3 linked regions of the Coturnix japonica genome follow. The protein of the gene in region 3 binds, or shares a complex with, the protein of the main gene of each other region. Links are inferred from orthologs where the notes say so. Each region holds a gene or a part of one and is shown on either strand. Other genes may lie near its edges.

Region 1 (5,252 bases), on a different chromosome or scaffold from region 3:
GATCCTAAACAATTTGTGTTATTTTGTGTTATATTGTTAAAACACATATATATGTGTGTTTTAAAGGAAGTTATAGACTCCTGACATTTTAGCAATGTTGGTTTTTTTTTCTTTCCTGCTCTAAACTTTAGGCTCGTGCCGTTCTGGAGAGGGAATTTAATAACCTTCTTGTTATGGGCACTGACAGAAGACTCGATGAAGTAAGTTTCATGAGCTTTTGAGCTGGTTTATGTTTGTAGGAACTTTTATCAGAACTGTTAAGTCAAAGAATGTAGCTTTGACTAGACCTTTGTCGATCTATAGACAGAATTGTGACAAAAAATGGACTTGGAAATTCTTTGTGAATTTCTGAATGTGGCAGGTTTTTTGTGTTTTGCTAAGGTAACTCTGAATGTGAAGGCATGAGGTGATTTGCAAGTTTATCTGTAGTTTGCATAGTTAAGCCTAGCAGCAGCGCACTTGTGGTTGAATCGTTCTTTTCTATCTGAAATGTGGGAAAACAATAATCAGTGTTGCAGGTGAACTGAGTATAACTGAGAAAGTCTGTATAGGATAGTTCAAACCTTTATCCTAATAAACAGCATTTCAGATGATTGTATTTCATGAAGACTTGTGTTGCTCTCTACTAATAGCAGTATGGAGTGATGACCAGGAATGTTTGCTCATCAAAGTAATTTGTATTAGACAGTCTGTGATTTACAGTGTAAAAGCATCATTCTAATGTATCAAGTCTAAAGCTCTAACAAGCTATGTATGAGAAACTGTGCTGGTGTATCCTCACCTCAAGAGTCTTGTGCAGTTTTGGGTACCAGAATTTAAAGATACGAAGCCAGACTTGCAGCCCTTGTATGGCACACCCTGATAGCCTAGTATGTATCTGTGCAAAGTTTTTAATAATATTAACAGAAAACAGCTTGAAAGTTTTCTGAGTTACTTTTCAGTAGTGATTTCTCTCTGCAGGAAATGAAGCTTTGTGGGAGGGGTGTTCTATTCTGGTTACAATGAGCAGCAAAAGTATTTTATTATGAAGATCTTTCCAAATGATGCAGGCATGTGTCTCCTAATTTTAATTATAAAATGTGATGCATTATATAAAATAGCAGTCAAAGGATAGAATTGTTTCTAAAGGTGAAATAGACAAGAAATCACAGTGGATGTTGTGCATTGACATTTGTTGCAAAAGGCATTTTTGGCAGAGCTAATTAAACTGTCGTATTTGAATATAGCGAAGTGTTTCTGAAAGATTCAGATACATGAATGCAGAAAAAAATCCTTTGGGAATCTTTAACTCGTAATTACCAAACTGTTTAACCAAAGCTCTGAACAGCAGTATTTACTGTATTTAGTTGTTTTTTCTCCTCACTATGATTACCTGCAATTTGTAGCATGAGAAAATGCTGTAGTTGTATCATCACTCAAACAAAAACAAAATCTAAAATTATAAACAACTGTTCAGCCTAAGAACAGTGTTCTTAAGTGTTCTTATGTAGCTTTTAAGATATGTTCCTTTTCATATCACTCATTCTTAGCTTGATATGACACAAATTACTCCAAATCGGGAAGTAAAAACATTAGACCAGATGTGCCAAAGACATGAATTGGCATAATTACTTAGATGAAGAGCCTACACTCCAGTAAATGAGCACATATTGTTGAAAACAGTGACCAGCTGCACCTGAGCTGTTGAAAATTAAGCCTTTCAATGATGGTGTATTTAACTAAATTGTCAGTAATCCTTTTAATGTTGGTAACAATCCTAAATTTTTGAACTGCTAATGTTTATCATTTTAACAGGATGACGATAAGAGCTTTAGGCGAGCACCTTCGTGGAGAAAGAAGTTTAGACCAAAGGACATAAGAGGTTTAGCTGCTGGATCAGCAGAGACTCTTCCTGCAAATTTCAGAGTTACAACCTCAATGTCTTCACCCTCTATGCAGCCAAAGAAGATGCAGATTGATGGTATTTACTTTGGATTATTTGAAGCATGATGTGCTTTCTTGCTTGAGATTACAGGGGAATGAAGTTCAAATGAGCTTTTTTTGCTCCTTGAAAGCATCTGCCTTGTGCATGGTTGTATTTATAACACTGTTTAACCACAGAGTGCGTTGTAATTTCAGGAACTGTATTAGATAAGGAGGTTCTTTTTACTTCATTGGAATAACTGTGATAATTTTATTTAGGAAGTTATATTAAACTGGGAAAATAAAGTGACATTTAGGTAGGAGTCTTGTAACATGACGCATGGTTTTGAATTAGTAGCAATTAGACCAACGTAACCGGTCCCACATCTGAAATGCAGTGAAATGGCATTCAGGAAATGTAATGAATGAACATTCTCAGATAATTTTGAGAATATTACAACTTGAGAAAAAGGGCATTTCCGCCCTCCCCACCCCCCTTTGAGGATATTTGTAACTTCTATTTTAGAACTGATTATTAAAGCAATTTACATGGATGGATGGGTGTCCCTTCTCTCTATGTGAAGGGAAAAGTAAAAGAGAGAGCAACAAAAAACTGTACGAAAAGGAAAAGAAACAGCACTTGGAAGTGAGAATCGATCGCCTGTCATACCTATTATATTGTCAGTTTAAAAGCAGTCTGTCTAATAGCATGAGAATAAAATTCTCTTTTTCTTATGAAACAAGTAAAAAACAGATCAAAAATATATTTAATTGGAATAGATAGGGTGTGAGTTTCCTCATAGTCTGTCAGAGCTGTCTCAAGTTCTGAGGAGTGTATTAGAGTAAAGGTCAAAGAATCGACCTTTACACCTGATGATACCACCTTTACTACCTAAAATGTCAGTTGGTTTACATTAAAGATTGTGTGTCAGTTGGCATGCAGGTTTTTTTTAGGATTCTTTTTGATAGCTGCAGAAACTAGAACTGATTAATGTATAAACTGTACAGTAAATTTAGGTTTTCTAACTTGTAACCTTTGAGTTAAATGAGTGCAGTAGCTATAATCACACTGCTGTAATGTTTTTTGTAAACTAACATGCATGCTGTGTTCTGCATGTTTTCCCATGCCTCTAAATAGGCAGTGTATCAGGAACACAAAGATTGGATTCTGCTACAGTAAGGACCTACTCCTGTTAAAGCCTTCTCCTGGTGAGTAAAGTCGATAGGTGTAATAGTAAAGCAGCTATTTATGAGTAAAGTGTCAGGTGTTTTAATAGAATGAATTGTAAAGGCTTTTCGATTTGGAGAGTAGATTGCATTTTGAACACAGCTTATTTCTTATCGAGACAACTGAGGTTCACTATTTACTTCTGTACACCGCTGTATTCCTCAGTTGTTTTTTCTCAACCACCTCAGAAAGTAACTCATGCAAAGTAACTGTGTAGAAAGCTTTGGAGTCAAAGGTGAAATGAAACAAGTAGCAAAAGTGGGGAGGAAGAGAACTAAATTAGGGATATAGCTAAAAGAAAACTCAGTTTGTGGTATTGCGATTCAGATTCTTTTGGTCTTTGCTTGGTGAAATACACTGCACTATACTTATATATTGAATTTTTATGGGGTAACTACATTGATTTCTGGCTCTCAGATGCTCCATACTATTGTGATTGTTTAGTTTGTCTGGCTGGATTTACTTACCTGCAGTCCAAAATCTGGGTAATTGTGGAACAGTGGTGCCAGTGAAGCAGCTTGATAACAAAGGATATTTAAACAAACAATGGATGTATTCTGAACAGTGAATACATATTCAGTTCTGTTTTACTTGAGGATTTGGGTTGATTTTTCTTCATCAGCTTCTGCTGTATTTTTTCATCAAACAATCTTATTTTACAAACAAGTTTGGAAACTAACATTTTTTTTGACTGTTGGATACAGAAGAAATCCAATGAGAAAATATTCTTACTGCCACTAGCAGATATCTATGGGCAATAAATTGTCCATCTCTGTCTCTTCTGTGTACAGCTTCTTTCTTTCCACCAGTAACATCCCTACCAACTCATGTATAGTGGCTGCCTTTTCTTCAAATCCTGAGCCTTTAATATACAAGTTTAGTTCTAAAAAGTTCTCAGCAACTCAGACTATGTGGATCTGACAGTATATATAATATCAGGGGTTATCTTCATGTTTTTAGTTTTAAGACACCAAAGCTTGGAGTCTTCACCCATAAACGTGCTAGAAAATTCTGAAACAGTGCGGAGGATTATAATCTGGATGACCTTGAATGAAAATCTAGGAAGTAAAAATACTTGGCCTCATGTGCTTTACTTTGCAAATGAAATTAATAATCAGCAATGAAATGGTGTGTGTTGTGGCATGGCAATAATTTGGTGCATGACTGCTACGCTACTGAGTTGTTTGTGAGGAACTTTAACAAATGGGTATTTTGTAAACAACATTTCATTCTAATCAGATTATTTCTTTATTTTGCAGTTTACCCACACTATTTCTACCGGTGATATGCAGCATTTTGAACATTTGGAAACCGTAACCTGTTAATACTTCTTAAATGGACACTTTGAGATATTTTATTACAGAGTTTTTAATTAGCGAATAAATTCATGAGTACTATAGAGAAAATATTTTAGAATCTAAATGTTTCTTATATTTATGTGACTTTTCATTTATATAGTTACTTACTTTTTTTTTTTCTGTTTCTATTCAGTCTACAATGAATCATTGCTGATTTTTAATCTAATTTTAGTCTTTCCAACTGAATGTACTGTAATGCTTGTATGTATATGTCCCTATAAATAATGTAGGGTTTTTGTAAATTATGCAGTTACTGTAATTATCATTGTTTTTTAATAATGAAACTGAAGGTGAAAAGAATTTTAATACCTTTGTAAAAGTATCATGACACCAAGCAGTATATATTTTGTCTTTTGGAAATGTTAGCTAGATCTGAAAACAAGTCCAGCTTTTTTTCAGGCAAGCGTATGTTGTTGTTGAAGGTATGGTACATAATTGTTCTTTTCGGAAGTGTACCTTTCCACAGAGGAATTGTCAAGTAGTGGGAATTTGTCTTTATTTAAAATAGAACTTGTTTGAAAAGCTGAGAAGAACTCAAACGCTACGGAACACATTTTACAAGTGATTGACTCGGTCATAACTGTGTCTCTGCTGTATTTGTATAGCATGTCTTCACAGTGACTGAGAACAAGCCATAAACCAAGAACTGTTTTTCTTAACTGAGGAAGATAGACTTCACAATAATTCCTGGTTGTAATCCACGGGCCACAGAGAGTGATTTTGTGCTAGATCTTTTTTGACTGAAAACACTTGTTGAAAGATGC
Region 2 (5,252 bases), about 17 Mb from region 3:
CCCATACAGCAAGACTTGTCACGTCATGCATTAGCAGTGATCACTGATATGTCACATCTTGCAGATTTAATAAAAAAAAAATTAAAAAATAGGCTTTCTTGGGCTGGAGGTGTTCACCTGAGATTCTCATGTTTGTTTTTTTTGTGTGACAACCTAAACTGTTAAAACTCCTCAAATATCTGATACCCAAGTTGCTGAGCCACACTTTGCAACTTAAAAAAGATGCTGACGCGATTGAAGATGTGAGCAGAACTTGGTGATAAAAGCTAGAATTCGTGAGTTGCTGGGTAGGGAGGTTGGTTTGTTCGAACAGCCAAGAAGTGGAGACTGTGGATGTTTGGCTATTACCCTGCCTGATTCTAGCTTTGGGTCTCCTCAGCTGACTGTGACTGTTTGTGCCTGACAGGCTGCATGTGGCTAATTATAAACACAGCTAATGCTTTCCAAAGTAAACTAAAGCAACTGTATTTTCATGTCAGCTCACTGACATGAAAAAAGTAAGAATTAATCTGAACTAATACAGTTTTGAAGAGATTTGTTTTAGGAAAAAAAGAATGCAGAGAAGGGTATTTCAGTAATCATTCGACTTAGGGTGACCATAATGAACTGAATACTTAATATAAACTGTGACTTTTTAATGTGTTTCTTAATCTTTCTCAAACAGGACAGAGACTCTGCTTCACAAAAGCCGACAGAGGTAATGTGTGTGTGTGTGGCCACGCACTTGTGTGTATATGTGGAGAAGCATGGGCAGCATGGATGTTGGAAGGCTCAGTCATCTGAAATTGCAGTATTCAGTTCCAAAGGGGGAAAAGCTGACATGCAGTCAGGAGTATACGATGATTGCCGCAATCACTTCTGAATCAGGCTTAGGGTGTCTCACACATTCCTTTCTTTTCCCACAAGGATTATCTTTCAGTTTTATTGAGCATAAGGTTGCCATCACATCTAATGTTTCCCTCACATGTTCTACCACTTGATAATTAGCAAAGCTAGCCATTAACTATTATACTGACTGTGTAATTACCTTTGATTAGTATCTCTAAAAACCCTTGGGTTTCCAAATTGTTTTCTGTAACAACTGTGTTCTTAAAGAGACTGTCATTGCAGAAGAGCTAGCCTATGGTACTGTATGGCATAGTTTGCATGCAGCAGTTATTGCATGGATGAAGATCTGAACAGAGAACACCTACATCAGACACCACTCTAGGGTCCATTCAGCAAAAGCCAAAGGATCTTTTTTGGATTATGAATGGATTTTTCACTTTTTAAAGAAACAGTGAAACAACCAAGAAGGTTGAAACTATTACTTTAAATTGGTTATGTGATGTTTCAGATTTCAGTTCCTGTCATTTTTACTCCTTGCTTTGTTGCCTATTTTCCTCTCAGCTTGGACAGTTGGCAGAGTCAATTAGTTAAATCATTCTGAAATTGCAAAGTGATGACAGCTGGAAGGGGCTGTCCAGAACTTGCCAGAGATCCAATTCAGCGTGAGGGTCTTGTCTCTTTCTTTGCTTCCTCTGTTGCTACAGCTGTCAAAGCCTTATAGGGTTGTATTTTTACCTTTTTAGTACATGTAAGCTGCGCTTGCAGAAAATGAGCAACATCTTCGAAATGGCATGTTAGTCTTAGAATTTAGTGATAGTAATCTCAAGTCCTGAACTTGTTCAACTGAAGATCTTGTCTGTTCTTTATGGTTTTTGTAATGTTTTCCCATAGTAACAAGTGAGATCGAGTGACTCTCCAGATTATATGGCAGTGATTACTTTGCATCTTCCTCAAAGGTCTTTTGCAGTTCCCTGATATTGACTGTTTGTTTTCCTAACTTTAGCAGGCTAAACCTCGCATGGAAGGTAATAATTTCGCCACTCTCCCTCCAAAATCTCCTTCTCATGGCATCACAGGAGATGAGGACAGTTTTGGCACCCGTAAAGCCAGATCTTCCTTTGGACGAGGCTTTTTCAAGATAAAAAACAATAAGAGGACTGCAAGTGCCCCCAATCTAGGTAAGTATTGTACACCTAAATGCAAATCATGTATGTATCTAACAATGTTTCCAATAACAGATAAATTAATAAAAAAATATTTTTCTAAGTGATGTAACTGTCCTTAAGAGCTGAAAAGCCAGCCTTCATCTTGCTATGATATGGTGATGTGTATCACAGTAAAATGGTTGCAAAAAGTCAAGCAACAGCCAAAGAACGGAGAAAACTTCACTGATGTAACAACTTAGTTCATTTGTTTTCACCTCTGCTGTGTTATCTCCTCTGAGACCATGTAATACGTTACTACAGTTTTGAATTGCTGGCTGTCTGGGATTTGTGGATCTTTTTTTCCTTGGCTCCATCTCCAGTTTATCTTTCATAAGATGTACAGAAATGTACAGAAATGAGGCAGCTGCAGTCAGTCTTCCACTTTGTTTTATGTGTTTATGTAACCTTGCAAAAGAGATTGTGAGAAAAAGAATAATATTGGTAAAGTTATTCAAGCTCATTTTGAGTCCTGGACTTGTGTGGGAGGGTTTTCTGTTTTGGTCTTGTCATTTGCACAGTGAAGAAATGAACAAAATGTTCTGCTTAATGCAGAATTTTCTTTTACCAGCGGTTGAAGCCTAACTTGCTTTAGCTGATTTGTTGCAGGATTCTTTCCACTGTTCCAGTTCAAGCATTAAGTGAGTCATGAATCAGAACTATTGGCATTTATCTACACTTTTTGGCTCTGTTGCACAACATTTGGAATTCGGTTTTGTCTTTCAGAAGCATAAAGGCAGATAATGTCCTCTATGTTGAGAAGAAGAATTTATTGCTTTTACTTATCAATGACAATTCTAGATCTTTTTTTTCAAATGAACCAACATACCCACACATTTATTATGCATTGCCCCTATTTTCCCTTGTCATATGGCATGGGAACTTTCTAGCGTACTTGGAATAGATGTGCAATCTATTCTGAGGGTTAGACTCTTTGCTTTGGTTTATTTTGTCTGTGTTTGTGTGTAATCACCTGTTTCACCCTGTGATTAATTTGTCTAACAAGATGGAGGTCTTGTGGCTGTCCTAAAGGATTGGAAGATGAGCCATCTAGATCAGGCTCCTGTGAATTTGAGTGATTGTTATCCAGCTTTCATTGCATCCACCTATAAAGTTGGTGCCTAGATTCTTGCCACCCCACAGGAGCCCGTGTGAGTTGCAGAGTGGGTGGCCTCCCTGCACTGCAAAGAATGAGGTGCTGGTTTACCCTCTCCAACAAGGAGCTCTACTGCATTCATTTACTAAGAGAGAGATGAACAGTGAATTGTTTATCCTAATCTCTGCGTGATTCATTCTTGTGTGTGACGTATGTGTCTCATTTACCTCCCTCCTGTTGTCTTGTATTTTGTTGATGTAAGTTTTGAAATATGTTTTACCTTGTCCTTCTGCGTGTTCTCTCCCTTTGTGCTGCGTGTGGTTATGTGCGTTGTTTGGATATCTGAAGATCGCAGTCGAAGTGCAAGCGCCCCTACTTTAGGTACAGTAATCCTGCATGTCTGCCTGTACCAGCGCTGTGCTGTGGCTGTTGCTGATGGCTGGATGTAGCCACACACTTTTCAAATAAAAGCTAGACACCAGAGCTCTGCATCAAACACCTGTGCATCGCTAAAAGGAGTTTTCATGTAACATCTGCCCTCTGCTAAAAGTCAGCTGTGCCATTTCTTGATAACTGCTACTAATGAGAGATTGCGGGTTAATTTGCAGAGACCTTTACTGTAACTTTGAGCACAAAGTTATTTACAGACCAAGACAGCAACAGGGAAACAACAGTGTATGAACACCAGGGGTGCCTCTGTGTCCATCCTAGAGCCCCCTGGGAAAGCTTGAAGGGTTGTAAAATAGGACATTGAGTGTACTTATTTCTCAGGAATTCATTTAGGGGAACTCTGAGTGAAAGGGTAAGTTCTCTTTTAAGAAATACCTACATTTATTGTGTAATAAATGAATGAGAAATAACTGGGACAGATTTAGATGGAGCCATTAGTATAGTAAAAACTGGCCTCATGATGTGAGTGTTCCCTGGGTGGTTCTGGCAAGGGCAGAGAGGAGCAGCAGGGCCAGGTATTAGCAAGGGGAGCTTGCAGATGTGGTGGCACAGTAGTTGCCTGTGGCCTTTGCTGACAAAGAGACACGAGTCCTCTTGGCCCTTTCTTGGTTTACCTTGATTGGCTTCTCCTGGGGTTATGCATCAGGGAGCAATGTACATGGAGCGACCATTGCAATACCCGCAAATCTCTGCTACTAATGTATCTAGCCTTGTCTTAGTATTCTCTCTTTAGACTGCTATTTAAATATGTATTTTTTGTTGTTGTTTTTTCTAGGGTAGAACTTTTTCTTACACAAGTAAAGCAGAATCCACAAGTGCAAAAGCTTTGTTTGATATGCTGCTCTCTCTCACCAGCAAGATTGCCTCATTGTTCAATAGCAGTCAAACCAGAGTGCTCCCAAAATCATCTTGCATATGGCCTTGTTCCCTCACTACAAGATTTTCACTTTCTCTGGAAGAAAATGGGACAAGTTCATGCATAGTCCATCTGAAATACCTAAAACTTTGCCCTGCAGGAAGATACTCTTGAGACCACGTGTCCCAGCAATAGATGTTCTAGCTTGATTTGTGTGATTTATTTGGTTTTCTCCTGCAAGTTTGAGGGTCCATTTGAAAAACACGATGGTGATCTTATTATGTAGCTATGTGAAAAGGTGGTAAAAGTGGCTGCAGGCTGCCTTGCCACAACTGTTTCACCTCAACAGGCTGATGCTGTTTCTCAGCGAGTGTCATCAGCTCCACATGGTGACTTTCTTCAGCTATCTGGCACTTTGCTGGCACACCTCTGCTTGTGTAGTCTTCTAGATATTGCAATTTGTTTCCTTTTAAATGGTCTTAAGTAGTCTTTTGCTTTGTTATTTCAGCTTTTACTAAACAATTTTGTCACAGTTTCACTTTTGTAGACAGGAACCTTTAGATTTGTTGTCAGTGGAAAACAAGGGCTACAGATCCAACTTTTCACGTGGGAAGTAGTGTGTAGATACGGAGATGCTCTATGCATCCCTTCAAAGGAAAAATGAAGTTCAGACAGAGTGTAGACTTAGTGGTATTTCTCTACAGAGAAACAAAATGCTCCACAACTTGAAGGAGAAAGCTTTCTTTCCACCAGCAGGGGAAAGGGCCCTCCTGCTCCTAGTGTGGGGGGAATTGTTTGTTGCTGGAATTTCCTCTTTGGG
Region 3 (5,741 bases):
TCATAAGATGTTCATGACTTTTGGAGGTGATGTTACGTGCCTAGAAGCACTAATCAGAAACCTATTTATGAAGGGGAAATTTTGGGAAGCAGCCCTCTCTTTTTTCTTTGTTTTTCTTTTGCCAGAGCCACTCTTAGATTTTGACCACAAGAAAGCAAAGTGTGGAGAGAAGTGGAAAATTATGTTGCCGTTCCAGTTCAGGTCTTGTTGTCAGAATATGCAAGACCTAACAAGATTAGAGCGGTTTTGCCCTTTAATTTAAGCAGATGCATGTTGGAGTCACTAGCAGATTTACATCATAACTCTGGTTCAACACTGACTCATGGGATTATTTCATTCTGCTGTATTCTTTTTTGATGAACCACTTTGCTCCTTGTTTTGTGAGGGAGGGTTAAACAGTAATTCCTCAATGAAATATTTCTCCCTTGTTGAAACTTGAATGGGATATTTTCCAGAAACTCGGCTCAGAAACCACCCTTGACATACCAGCTCTGCCAGAAATGCCTTACCGAGAAAGCAGATTGCCCAGGGGGTGGTAGCATTAACAAAACGGGCAAGGGGGACTCCGAGCAGATCACCTCACTCACAGGTGCTGTGAAGCCCAGAACATCTGCAAAGAACCAGCCATCTGCGCAATTACAGGCTGCAGCTGCTACAGCATCATAACAAAGCACTAAATTGGAGCTCAAACGTGAGAAGGGGCTAAGCTGGTGCACGAGGGAGCCACGAGCTAGCTAAGGGATGTAATGAGGTTTTTAATTCAACAGCCTCCTTGAGACCTGTAAGATCTTCCTATAACTCCAAGATTCTAATGAAGAGAAATGTTTCTTCCGGGATGAAAAACAGAAGGTACAGTACAGTCTAGGCTTGACTGCGCTTGCTGATGCAAATGGAGAATGGATATTTCTTTTCAAGTCAGCTTTCTTAAATCAGAGTGTATTTAAAATGTCGGAAGGGGAAAAAAAAAAAAGACTATCTTTGCCTGGTATTGATTTTTCTCATATGTTTTACCTATGTTTAAATCTGTTTTCCTTTCTCTCCTAGAAATCTGATCTCCCCCAAAGCATAGACTGTGTAGCTATAGGAGCAGGACTGCACTGCTCTTGGAAAAATCTGCATGCCATTGTGCTTAGATTTCCTTGCTTTTGCATCTGAGCCGAGCTCCTGACAATTGAAAATATTTAAAGGAGGAAAACTAAACCCTAATGAATGTGAAAGGCGTTTGCACAAAAACACAAGCCATCTTCCTTCTGTCTTAATAGAAATACCTTAAAAGGACTGCATAGGCTATACAAGTAAATGCAACAACTCATTCCCTCTATGTATGCCAGTTTTTGAAAGTATTCATTTCTATTTTTGTCTCTTTACTTGTTATCCAAATAAAGATCTCTAAGTAAGTACAATTTCTGCCTGTCTAAGCTCAGCAGCTCGGTGGTCACATCTTCTTCATATCATTTTTCCTGTGAACTTTCAGTTCCTTCTCCTTTACTTGGAATAAAATCAAGCACTCTGTTAATAGCCAGGACTCTTCAGTCGGAAGTCCGTACCACATCTCATCTGGGCCTGCACAGGCAGTAGGTGAAATGCTATCAGGTGAAACTGTGCTGAATAACTTTAAAGTCACTTTCCTATAATAGAAACTTAGTTCAAGAGCAGAAGAAGTGCTGGTCTGCTTCACTGTTTTCCAAGACCCATTTTCACCATGTAAAGTCAATTGGCTGTAAGCTGCGGACCCAGCTTGGCTTCAAAGAGTGCCTGGCTCCTCATTCACAAACTAAATGCTCTAGAGAGCTGCCAAATTGGGGAGATTATTCTGTCTCATTTTCTGGCAAGCTGCGACTGCGTGTACCGCTTCATTTATATGCTAATTAAGGCCAAGCCTCCAAATAGGCTCCATACAATATCAGTATGACTTGGCTCCCTCTCTATGATTATTCTGCCTTCCAGCAGCTTCAGTGAGCGTTCTGAGCCGGAGAACTTTTTCTACGTCTTCATCTATGAAATCCTGAATCTTAGCCCCAGCTTTCTGAATGCGATGGCGAGACAGGAGGGGTGCAGATCCCTTGTGTGAACGATCACCGTGGGGTTGTGAAGGTGAGCTCAAACCTTTTGTTGATGAGGACTCTCTCTACTGTCTTTGTCTTGGAGGAGAGGCTGTTGTTTCTTAGGTCAGCCAGTGTAATAAGAGATTGCAGAAGGCATGGATAATTCGGGGGGATGATGTGTTGCCAAGGTAGAACAGCCAGTTCTGTTGCCTGCTCTCTTTTGCCAGCTCATATGTGATCATAAGGCAAAAGCTCTATCTATTCTACCTATTTTTAAACCGCTGTAAGGATCCATGCATTCAGTCATTTTTTGAGGAGCACTATGTTGTTATTGAAAGAGCAGGTACCGACACTGTGATGGTTTCACGCTGGCTCAGCTCCACCACACTGCTATCAATCTCCTCACCTTCTGAGGCTGCCTTAGCTTTTAATGTAATTGTTTTGTATTTGATAAACTTCACAAACCAAGGATGAACGTTTCAGTAAATGGGACACTTGCCACAAGCTGAATTCACTAAATATTTCACCAAGGGCTACCGAACATAGAGTGGGAAATGTGTGTATTTGTGGTAAGAAATCTTTGAGCCTTTTTGGAGGGAAGTATTAGTACCTTTTGCTTAAAGCAGAGAGGTGAAATTGGCTCACAAGTGTATTTTACCAGGCATCCAGAGCTCTAGAGTTTTGAGCTAAGTTCTGAAATTTCCATGTAATATCATTTCCCTACTTTTCTGAACTTCCTCTTAGAAAAACATCAAGGTATATTTTAAAGCCTTGTTAAAAAAGAACTGAGCACTTGAAAGTTAGAAAATTCCCAGCTAGCAGCACACACCCTTTGCAGAGCTGTATTACAGCACATGCCATTACAGACAACAGCAGCACAGATGCGGGTGCATGGAGTCGCTAAATGTCTAACTTTTCAATAGCCTGTGTTTGTATTGGATTTCACAGTCCTGGTCCAGGTAACCAAAGAGGGGATTCATAACCTATTGTGGATAGCAAATGGACAAAGAAAGAGTGTTAACACAAATGTGTCAGAAGTTCCTGTGTTCTCATGGATCAAGTGCATGCTTATGACTTTGAAATCAGGAATGATATGAAATCAGGATTCATGGTTTGAGCTCAGGCATCTACGGTATCTCTGTATGTGGGAAGTGTGTTGTCCTTGTCTGAGCTGTGACAACACCTAATTCTCATTCAGGGTGCGAGGGATATCAGAATCAGCACAGCATGGACCACATCCCTGCCTCAGGCAGTTCAAATTTAGACTGCGTGTGCAAGGTAATTTGCTTACTTAGGGTGTGATCTGGCACGGAGACACTCCTCGCCTATTGATGTGGAGTCATGATCTAGCCAGCAAAGGAAGACTCATCAAGCCACAGAGAGATAAAGCAAGAGGGAGCACGACTGTTTTGCTTGATGATGAGGCAATTTCCTGGGGTGGACCAGGTGTGGGTTCTGGTACTTCCCAGATGCACTTAAGCATTTTTGCAACCCTCTCATCACTCACCAGAGAAACCTTCCATGGGATTTCCAAAGCCTGCCTGTGCATTGAATTCCCCTTGTTACTGTGAATCGTTTATTTGAATCTCTCCTGAGCAACATGTTGCCTCCGGGTTATGACCGGTTGGCTGACAAAAATAGGTGCCAGGTGAGGTTCCTGCCAGGGCATGACCGCCGGGCTGAAGAATACAGCACTTGTGCAAGGAAGCGGCTCATTTATTTCCATGACACGCTGTTCTTTTGTGTGCTGCATGCAGCAGGTCTTGGCAAGCAGCACTCATGCATGTTTCTGTTTTATGTGGAAAAGCTCCAAAGTTGATAAATTTCCTGTGTCAGATAAAGGACATCTCTGTTCTAGGCCAGGATGCTTTCTCTAGCATCCTGTTGCTATTCAGGCTGCAGTTCTATTGCTGCTGGAGTACGATGCTTGTTCCTTAGCAGATCCAGAGGCTTTAAAATTTGTTTATTCTATGCTGGAGTGAAAGGAGAACCCTTTGAAATGTTACTGATTTTTACATATATATATTTCTTGCCTTAATGTCCTCTTTTGGACTCTTAACAGGACATTTCAATTAGTGAAAAGGTATTTTATGGTATCAAACACTGCCTTGATGCAGGAAACATCCCACTTTACTGTGGTAGTTCTGCACACCTCAGAGGTTTAGACTGCAGACCCTCTCAGATGGACAGAGCAGGAACTTGAACACGGGTGTCCCATGGCTGAGAGCTCACCAGATATATAAAACCCTTCCATTCATTGCCAAAAGTGCTCTGGCTATGCTGCCAGCTAGCCACACTGACACTAGCTGACGATGCCAGACATTTTGAAATGTGTTTCACAAAGTTATGCACCTATGGATAAGGAAAGTTCAGCTTTTGCAGCAAAAAGGAAAGTTCACTGGTAGATTAAACTGGAGAAATATGTGGGGAGACTGATTTAAAGAGTGGAAGGGATGGTTTTGCTGTAGGATTTAGACACTATCAGCGTAAAGGAGACGGTGCACATAAATACAGGACTTCCTTGCTGCAAGAAGATGGAAGAAAAAGCTCAGCAGTTTTGGGAGTTTCATGAGAGCATATTAGTGTGTCTGAGAAAAACCGAGTTCTCAGTGGTTAGTGTCCTGTTGAGCACTTCTGAGGACTGTAATTGCAGTGGCTTGTCTGGGTATAGAAAATGCACATATTGTGATGCTGGCAGCTGTGTGAAGACTTGCTGAAGGTAGTGGGTGTAACAACCACCCTTCATTTTATTCGTAAAGTGCAATTAGGTTTTATGGAATAGATAGCTGAAACAATAGGAGCCACCACCCCAAAACTATGGGTACACGCAAAGCTGTTCAAAAACCTGTGCTGTGTGGGTGGAGGGTTTGATAACATGCTGAATTAAGGTGCAGGTGGCTGAACATAGTTCACGTGGGAGAGAAACCAGAAAGACATCAAAGCAGATGCATAGGGAAGACATCAAGAAAGTCCCAGCGAAATAAAAATACTTGCTGTCTAACTGAATAAAAGCCAAGAGAGTCACCAGGAATCCAGCAACCTGGAGCTCAAGGCAAGCAAATGAGGTGCTACCTTCTCCAGTGTTCTCACTGATACAAGGAAATGGATGTTGATGGGGTTGCAATGAAATCAAAAGGTTTTGTTTCAAAATAAATAAACAAAAATAACAGGACCACGTTCCACCATCTGTCCATCTGCCTGGGAGAAATGATGCAGAAATATCAGGCTCAGCTCAGCATATGGAAATACTCAGATAGATCTCCATTACTGCAGTGTTAAAGAAGGGATCTCTGCTTCCAGCTGCAGATAAGTGAATCTGTTCTGGGGATGCAGCTTCAGATTTCATGGCAGAAAATATCAATGGAAATCAATGGCAAGGGAAAAGCTAAGTCAAAATGAAATACAAACCTGGCCCACCTAGCCTACTGGTGCTTTCCATGTAGCATTACTTACTGGATACAGAGCTGAATTTGGCAAAATGAGACATGCATTTAGGTTTGGAGGTTTGCCTTTTCTCTTGATCACAAGGTCAGCTTAACCGTCACCTTTACACATCTTTCTGATTACTATAGTTTCTCCTGTGCTTTCTCTTGTATGAGCTTTACTTATTCACTACTCACCTATCTTGCCACCTTCTTTTAGGTGATTCAGATTTTAGGCACAATGTTAGCTTTGTTGACTAGATTTGTCATGTGG

Evidence for each region. The genes of interacting proteins can lie anywhere in the genome.
Region 1: PHLDB2 (region 3) and PPFIA1 share a complex: the UniProt entries of both Homo sapiens proteins name them as parts of the cortical microtubule stabilization complex. The link is inferred for Coturnix japonica from reciprocal best matches to the Homo sapiens genes PHLDB2 and PPFIA1.
Region 2: PHLDB2 (region 3) and PPFIBP1 share a complex: the UniProt entries of both Homo sapiens proteins name them as parts of the cortical microtubule stabilization complex. The link is inferred for Coturnix japonica from reciprocal best matches to the Homo sapiens genes PHLDB2 and PPFIBP1.

What each region holds. Positions count from the first base shown.
Region 1 is NC_029520.1:6,924,644-6,929,895, reverse strand, and holds part of PPFIA1 (liprin-alpha-1), read left to right. Parts: intron 1-131; coding exon 132-200; intron 201-1,794; coding exon 1,795-1,960; intron 1,961-3,040; coding exon 3,041-3,099; 3' UTR 3,100-3,111; intron 3,112-4,389; coding exon of another isoform or gene 4,390-4,415; 3' UTR 4,416-5,252. UniProt on the Homo sapiens protein: May regulate the disassembly of focal adhesions. May localize receptor-like tyrosine phosphatases type 2A at specific sites on the plasma membrane, possibly regulating their interaction with the extracellular environment and their association with substrates.
Region 2 is NC_029516.1:62,759,424-62,764,675, forward strand, and holds part of PPFIBP1 (liprin-beta-1), read left to right. Parts: intron 1-664; coding exon 665-697; intron 698-1,831; coding exon 1,832-2,006; intron 2,007-3,474; coding exon 3,475-3,507; intron 3,508-5,252. UniProt on the Homo sapiens protein: May regulate the disassembly of focal adhesions. Did not bind receptor-like tyrosine phosphatases type 2A.
Region 3 is NC_029516.1:79,338,384-79,344,124, forward strand, and holds the start of PHLDB2 (pleckstrin homology-like domain family B member 2), read left to right. Parts: upstream 1-1,952; 5' UTR 1,953-2,094; intron 2,095-5,741. UniProt on the Homo sapiens protein: Seems to be involved in the assembly of the postsynaptic apparatus. May play a role in acetyl-choline receptor (AChR) aggregation in the postsynaptic membrane.